Xenopus tropicalis: one gene and its partner. The protein of the gene in region 1 purifies or fractionates together with the protein of each later gene. This does not show direct contact. Links are inferred from orthologs where the notes say so. Each region holds a gene or a part of one and is shown on either strand. Other genes may lie near its edges. The genes, in order: usp33 and robo1.

Region 1 (4,529 bases):
CTCTTTGGCATCATGGGCAATTCTCACCCCGGAGCTGCCCTGAGGTGGCTCCTGCAATACCAACCCCCCCATTGTGGCTTTTTGCTGTCACTGGTAATCTCGGGGGCGCTGCCACCTGAGGTGAGTTTCTCAAAACGCCTCATGGCAGCAGCACACATTTGGCAGTGGTAGTGAACATTTATCCCCATGGCTATTAATTAGGAAAATAATTGTGATGCAACATGATCAGATATAAAATTCTTACATATATGTCTACTAAGGTAAGAGCGTAGCAAATCCTAGTTAAAGGAACAGTAACACCAAAAAATGAAAGTGTATAAAAATAATTAATATATTATGTACTATTGCCCTGCACTGGTAAAAGTTGTGTGTTTGCTTCATAAACACTACTACAGTTTATATAAATACCCTGCTGTGTAGCCATGGGGGCAGCCATTGAAATTGAAAAAAGGAGAAAAGGCACAGGTTACTAAGCAGATAACAATAAGTAGCATAGATTCCCATTGTATTCTTCACAGTTATCTGTTATCTTCTTATGTAGCCTGTGCCTTTTCTCCTTTTTTCAATTTAAATGGCTGCCCCCGTGGCTACACAGCAGCTATTTCTATTAACTACAGTAGTCTTTCTGAAGCAAACACACAACTTTTACCAGTGCAGGGCAACAGTACATTATATTTTAATTATTTTAAAACACTTTTATTTTTTAGTGTTACTGTTCCTTTAAAATGCCACAGAATACAAAGGTTGCAGTTTCTCATTAGGATGTACACAGATTATTGATCTCTACTGATTAGGCAATACATGGGACTGCTGCTAACAAAACAAATTATTAATTTAATGGCCAAAAATTTTTTTTTAATTTTAATATTCTCTTTACACGGATATACGGAGAGAGAAATAAGACTTGCATCTAAAAATGTTACATAGAGTTTCAAATTGCTGACCATATATACACTCTAAACTGCTCTTATGTGTGATGCTAGGAGTCTGCTCATCCCAATCAGGGCACCTCTTTTCAAATTATTCTTAAGCATAAAAAAATAATTTATTTATAATACACATATAGATCATTTTTAGCAGCTATGGAAATGTAAAATGTATTAACTAACTACATGGCACACAGATAAGTACACCAAAATCAAATTTTTCCATACAGTCAAAAGGAAACCTGGAACAACCTAATGAATTAGAGATTCTTATGGTAATTGAGTAGAATTCTCTTGATATCTTTGACAAATATGCTGTACTGTTAAAATCCATCCAGGGTGCCACCTGAAGAAGATTGTTTTTTTTCCCACCAAAATGGCGTGGGTTTTTTTCCGGGTAGTCCTGGTGAAATGCGGATGCAAGAAAACCCAACTCTGAATGCTCACGAGTACAAGCAATTAGCAAATGCATTTACGTGCCCTCAAACCTATGTCCCAAGCACGAATCGAACTACTGTTTCTCATGAGTATGAGCCCTTAAACACACGTGTACTATTCTGACAGCAGGCAAATCAATTCCTGATCTATACTTGATCTATGTAGGCACCTAGGCGCAAGGGAATGCAGTCAGGGGTAAACTGCCAAATCAGCTCGTATAAGATGAATACTACTGTTTTTTAGAGCCAGTATGAGCAAAAGAGAAAATAGAAGGGTATGCTGTGAAGCTTAAAGCTGAATATTTTAGGGCACATTAAAGGAAAATACTGCTTTAAATAAAAAATCATGGATTAGTGATATAGTTTACCAGGGAAAAATGTGAGAGGAAAGACAGTACAGAAACGCAAGCATCTTAGGATGAAGGTATATCCTGTGCACAACAAATTAAGACAGGAGCCAGATGGACATCTTTCTAGAAACATTTAATTGAAGCGACAGTGCACTTACACAGATTTTCCAGTTACCCCTGGTATATTAGCAATATCAACCCAAACTAACTAGTACTGCATGGAAATGGCCCATGGTAATGAGTATGGTAATGCAGGTGAAGCGTTAATAAACACAATGTTAACTTGAATTACTGTTTAAATAAATACATACATATCAGCTGTGGGCATGCAGACATTTACATTTCTAAATAAATATAAACACCTCAATGGTGCAATATCCAGTGAATTCAAAGATTTCTTTCAGTATGCCTGTATACACTGGCACTTATATTGTAGTGTCACCCACTACTGACCTACAGCACTTATATTTGCCTATTTGTGTCTGTAAGTTACCCTCCCATATAGATTGTAAGCTCTACGGGGCAGGGACCTCCATCCTCTTGTGTCCTCGACTCTTAACTTATTGCAGCTGTATTTATTGTTATACTTTGTATTTATCTATTATTATCTTATTAACACCCCGTTTGTATTAATGTATTCTACTGTACAGCGCTGCATACAAAAGTAGCGCTTTATAAATATATACATACACGTACATTTACGTATAAATACATCTACCAGCTGCATGTGCATCTAAAACCATACATTGCTACATAATCATGTTAGCTGCACATATAAATCAGCCACATTAGTTACTGTGTCACAATAAACTGTTAATTAAAAGCAAAGCACTAAAAGTTATTGGAAGAGCACGGCAATACAGGTTAAGCGTTGATAAAATCACTAAAGTACACTGCGGCTTAGGAATTCACCAAAGGTTCAATAAATAGATCTACAGTAGGTTTACAGCAGCCCCTCTGCCATTTGCCAGAATATCCAGATTGCCAGTTGTGGCCTGTATACTGGCTACATGTAAACATAAACGTGCAACTCTAAATAATTACATCAGCAATGTGGGCATGACAACAAGTATAGTATAAATATGTGAATCATACCTATATTCAGAAATATACATAAGCCATCTATCAGTTCCATACAAATACGTGTATGCAAATGTGCATTCTACTTCAAATATATATATATTTATATATATATGAGTTAAGTGTAAAAACCCAACTACGTGAATGTATAAACATCAAAAAATAGCATGTATGAATTGTACTGTATGAACAGTTTGACATCGCTACTTACACGCCCCGCAACGCCGTCAATAGCAAGCTCCTTGGCTCCTGTCTTACAGGAAATCTCGGCGTTACAAGTCTCATCACGCGAGACTTGGCGTCACGACTACACGTAAACGCAGCGATGCGTCACATGACGCTTTGAGGTAGTGACGAGCGGGTACCTCAGAGTTAAGATGGGTGTACGCCGCAAACTTGTGCCCGGAAAAAAATTACATCTTTGCTACTGTTAAAGTCTCTTTTCCCGGAAAGAGTTTTTGTGCAGACTAGGTTAAGGTGAAAATAAGTGTTTTTGCGGAAGCCAAGACCAGACTTAGGGAACAAAAAAAAAAGGGGGGAAGGAAAAAAAAATCCTCATAGGTGCCGGCAATGGCAGGTTGAAAAGAGTCAGTCAACAAGGAAGTAATTTTTTTTCTGCTGACAGCTTCTACCTGCACCAGGGAAGAAGTAGTGAAAAAAAAAAAAAAGGTTTTTCAGGTTGCCAACAGTACCTGCAAAAAAGGAAAGTGGATTTTGTGGAAACTAGGCTAGGCTAAATAAAGTAATCTTTATTCTTTTTCAAAGGCCATACTCCGTATGGGAGTTTAAATGCCCGTGCATGCGCGCTTGCGTCGGCGCGCGGGGGAGGTTTGTTCGTGCATGCGAGGGTGGGGCCCCCAGTGTTTTTATTTCCAGGGACAGAACAACAGATAATTTAGGAGAGGATGGGGCACATATAGTAAAGGGTGAATTGTCTATTTAGGCCGAAAATTCATTAAAAAGGCAATTTGCGGTGCATTTGTCTCTTCACACTGGCGAAGAAGTGCAGCGCTAGAGAAACTTTGTGCCTCTTTGCCGAGCGAATTTTCGCCCATGCAAAGAAGTACAAATTTGGTAATTTACTAATAGGCAAACGTTTCTTTCTCCTTTTCGCTAAAATCCATTTCGCCAGCTTCTAGCTGGGGAAGTGATTAAAGGAGAAGGAAAAGTTAAAAAAGAGTTAATCTCAAGCTGCAGGCATACCTTCAGTTCTCTCAATAGTGCCCTTAAGTCTCCCCATATTTCTCCATTCAGATGATCAGACGCCTCAGGAAAACAAAACTCTGAGCTCTGTAAAGAAAATTCCCATAATGCCTCACTCCTGCACCAAGACCGGTTTACATGCTCAGTGTAAGACTATGAGGAAGCTTCCTGCTGATTGGCTCATATTACACATTCCTAAGTGGGGGAGGGAGTTCTTCGCATTCTTGTGGGAGGGGAGAGCTGCGTGTCTCTGGCACAGGAAAACAAACAGACAAGAAATCCTGTGTTCCTTTTAATAGAGAACTCAGTGCAGCTTTCTGTAAGTGCTTATGGCTGTATTTACATAGACCTTTCTGATAAAGCTTACTTAGTTTTTACCTTTCCTTCTCCTTTAACCTAGATCTGCACAGTAACTGTATTAATGAAAGGAAATCCCGCTTTCCCCCAAAAGCGTCATATCTGGAGTCAAAACGCATGTGTTTTTTTTTTTCTTATCTACAGTGTTATTCTGTATATAAGTTGTTAATGTAAAA
Region 2 (4,293 bases), on another chromosome or scaffold:
CACCTGTTTAAAAGCACATATCTTATTGGTTGCTATGGGTTACTGCTCCTGGGCAAACCTACTTCCTTTTATTACATATGGGGCATAGACTATTATCCAACATAGGCTGAAAGATTACTAGTATAGACTAGACCCAGCTCTCACTAAATCAGCAACATACAACTATGGGGCAGATTTATCAAATGTGAGATTAGAGCTCACCACGGAAAAATTCACCCACTTTCTATTCATTCCTATGGGATTTTTAGAAGCATACACTTTGATAAATCTGCTTAACTGAGAGTTATCAAATAGTTGTTATTGGACCACAGCATTGCAGTTGAATACTTATTTCTTTTTCCTTCTCTTTTCTAAAGGTCTCTCTATAAAACTAACATTTTCCTTTACTATGAAAATACAAATGATAAGCATTGCTTTTTACTTTGAGAATAAGACCCTAGCTCAATGAATGTTGCAGTTCCCTACTGATTAATAGCATGAAGCTATGTGAAATCCATCTCTTGGATAACTGCTACAACAACAAAAAGACACAATTTTTTAGAAAACCCCTCGTATCGAACAATATCTCCCAGTGAATAGATTCGCATGTCCGCATTTGAAGAATGTAGGCTGCTATTGTCATCTGGCGAGCCTGGCTTCGTGGCAGCAATCTAAATATTGTCAATCATGTCTGTCCTGCTCTTTGTGACCCAATCTGTACAGCGAGCATTAAAAAAAAGAACAAAAGCTCTCGTCTAGCACAAAAACAATTTCCTGCAAAGAAAAGAAGTCACAATGCAGCATAAATGATGTGCTTGTGACAGATTAACGGAGGTGCGCCGGTAACAATGATAAAAAGTAGCTCCTCCCAACAGTAAATAATATTGAGGGTATATGGATATACTTCCATAGCAGGTGGAATTCAGGGAAATGATTTGTAGATCTGGGAAATGGCTTGATGTATTAGTTAAGGGGGGGGGGGGCATGCTAATGAGCCTAATGAATATGATAGGGAGACCCGAGTGGGTTTGTACAGTTGAAGGCCTAGGGCAATGGAACCTTTCAAGGCTTTGATGGATCTTTGTTATGCAAAATATATCATTGCAAACTGGGAGTATAAAGAAAAGGGGCCAACGCATTAGGCAGATTAGATGACAGTCCAATACACTTTACAGAGATGTCAAACCCAAGGTCCCCCATTTCTTGGGAATTGCAACTTGACATTGAGTAAGAAGAATGATGGGATTTGTAGTTCTCAACTACTCCGTGTTGTGGTGGGGGGAGCTGTATTAATGAGGACATTTTAAAAATGTAACTCTTATTATTTACACTTGTTTTTTCTATAATGAGCACAATGAACCTGTATTGTAGTGCTACTTGCTGTTGCTCAAACCACTCATGTTTAGCATGAATTCAATTACAAACTGACACCAGTTGCAACCAACCAATCCATATTGTTGAGCTTATTAACAGATATAACACATACAACTAGCTGAGACAATGAAACACTTACAGGAGTCAGATAATGAGACACCACAACTCTAACCTATGAAACACTTTGTTGGATCTTCTTCTCCCTGGAATTTAATTTCACCCAAAGGCACATGGAAAGGGCACCATTATTGCTGCTCGGTTATACAGGGCACCCTTTCTTGTTGTGTACAATACCCAGGCACATTGAGACTATTTTTGGATATATAGATAAGGGACCTGTTATCCAGAATGCTCGGGACCTAATGGATCTTTCTGTAATTTAGATCTTAATACCTTAAATCTATTAAAAATGAATTTAAATATTAAATAAACCCAATAGTAATGTTTTGCCACAAATAAGGATCATTATATCTTAGTTGGGATCAAGTACAGGTACTGTTTTATTATTACAGAGAAAAGGGAATCATTTAACCATTAAATAAACCCAATAGGGCTGTTCTGCCCCCAATAAGGGGTAATTATATCTTAGTTGGGATCAAGTACAAGGTACTGTTTTATTATTACAGAGAAAAGGGAATCATTTAACCATTAAATAAACCCAATAGGGCTGTTCTGCCCCCAATAAGGGGTAATTATATCTTAGTTGGGATCAAGTACAGGTACTGTTTTATTATTGCAGAGAAAAAGAAAATCATCCTTTTTGGATAATGGGATTCTGGATAATGGATCCCATACCTGTATTATGTATAGGGAGCTAGGAAGTGACACTGGATTTTCAAAATAAATACCTTACTTTACATATATTTGGCATTTTCTTTAAAGTGTCAATCATTGCTATACTAGGGGTACATCATAAGCAAGCTCCTTTCATGACTTGATCATTTTCTTCATATGTACCATGGACATTTTCACATCCTACAAGGCATACCATGTTAATTGCTAAATGCTGTACTGTTGACTCCATACACAGGTATGGGACCTGTTATGCAGAGTGCTCGGGACTTGGGGTTTTCCAGATAAGGGGTTTAATTCCACTAAAGCTCATTTAAATGTTAAATAAATCCAATAGGATAGTTTTGCCTCCAAAAGGGACTAATTATATCCTAGTTGGGATCAAGTACAAGGTATTGGGTTTTTATTACAAAGAAAAATGGAGTCTATGGGAGATGGCCTTTCCATAATTTGTAGCGTTCTGGATAACGGGTTTCTAAATAAAGGATCCCATACCTGTATAGTAATTTTTGAAAATATCTACCTTAATTTTTCTACAATGTTAAAAAGAATCCAAAGTAAGTGAAAGTGAGAAGTTCAGAAAGACCAACCCTACCTGTATAGACCAGCGAATTGTCATCATGATCAGATGTAGGAAGTGCCGTCCCGCTGTCCAACCCCCGGTCAAGATCATCGGAGTCTGTTGAAAAATATATCAAAGCCGCAGATGGGGTCACAGTGGCAAGAGAAAATGCAATTTTGTTCCAAACATTTCCAGTTACATGTAGGTCCATGCATGGAAGGAAGACATGAAGCAACAGCAGAGATGGAAGTCTCATCATGTTTAGGAATCCCAGGGCACTTTCATGAATATCTTATTTCCTTCACTTCTCTTTCTGGAGTTGATATCTGCACTTGTCTTAATGGTAACCTCTCCACTGCACCTTCCCTGCTGCCTCTCAGCATGGGGACTGGCTGGAGTGCATGGAGTGCATGCTGTGAGGCAAGAGGTGCCGGCACTACTGAGCATATGGAGAAGGCAAGGCAGGGTGGCTGAATGCCGGCATTGCTAATTTTCTACCTTATTGTTAATCAAAGCTATTGACTGTGATCACTTGCCATCATCGCTGCATCTCATGACACTCGGAGCCCCCTCGGGAGTTACTCTTTGTTGGGACAGCGGAGGGGGGAAAAAAAAGAGAATCTTGTGAAAGAAGGGGAGCTGCAAACTAAGAGCTGTTTATAGCAAACAAAAAAGAGGGAGGGCAGCAGGCCAGAAACAGCTGTGGCATGAAATATTTCATTGTAACTAGATAAAAAGATGTGCCAACTTTATGTGAGATTGGTAAACCAGAAAATTACCTTTAGAACTCGCACACCCAGATGGACACTGACGGCCACACCCACACAGACACTAGTAGCACACAAACACAGACACTAGTAGCACACTAACACTACACACTGACACCAGAAGCACACACACACACTGGCACCAGTAGCACATACACAAACACTATGAGACACCAGTACCCTACACACACAAGCACTACAATCCCATACACAGACACTAGTAGCGCACACACTACACACAGATACCAGTAGCACATACACAAATACTTATAGCCTACACACTCACAAATGCGGACACCTGTAGCAAGCAGACAAACATATACACCCACCAACAAAAACTCAATTACACATAACTGTAAACACTAAGCTTTAGGATACTGGCACTTAAGGAGATAAGTCTTTGCTACCGCAGGAAGGAAACCTCAGAAAAATAAAGCACCACGTAAGTTTTCCCACTGGCGATTTACATTATTGGCAGTAGGAAAGAATTTTGGACTGATTAGTCCTCCGCGATAGTGAACATTTAGCGGGCGTCTAATCTCCATGTGTGCCAGTACCCTTAGGCTGGAGATCTGAGAAATTGTCTAATTTCATGTGCTATATGTGAAGTAGAAAATTACATTTAGATCACTACATGTAGATCTACATGTAGATCACTTACATTTAGATCACTATCACTACTAAACACTATGTTAATGCATAAAAAGTAACCTGAATTCTTGGTTAGAAGATCTATGAGTCCCTAAGCTAAATGAAAAGAAATTGTGAGATATGGCCACATATGTGAGCTATGGCCATTTATCACTGATGCGTCTGTTT

The links.
Region 2: the proteins of usp33 (region 1) and robo1 purify together in Homo sapiens (affinity purification with western blotting; 5 studies listed by BioGRID and IntAct, with this or other methods). This does not show direct contact. The link is inferred for Xenopus tropicalis from reciprocal best matches to the Homo sapiens genes USP33 and ROBO1.

What each region holds. Positions count from the first base shown.
Region 1 is NC_030680.2:80,321,548-80,326,076, reverse strand, and holds the start of usp33 (ubiquitin carboxyl-terminal hydrolase 33), read right to left. Parts: upstream 3,115-4,529; 5' UTR 3,005-3,114; intron 1-3,004. UniProt on the Homo sapiens protein: Deubiquitinating enzyme involved in various processes such as centrosome duplication, cellular migration and beta-2 adrenergic receptor/ADRB2 recycling.
Region 2 is NC_030678.2:25,240,876-25,245,168, reverse strand, and holds the start of robo1 (roundabout homolog 1), read right to left. Parts: upstream 2,982-4,293; 5' UTR 2,967-2,981; coding exon 2,741-2,966; intron 1-2,740. UniProt on the Homo sapiens protein: Receptor for SLIT1 and SLIT2 that mediates cellular responses to molecular guidance cues in cellular migration, including axonal navigation at the ventral midline of the neural tube and projection of axons to different regions during neuronal development.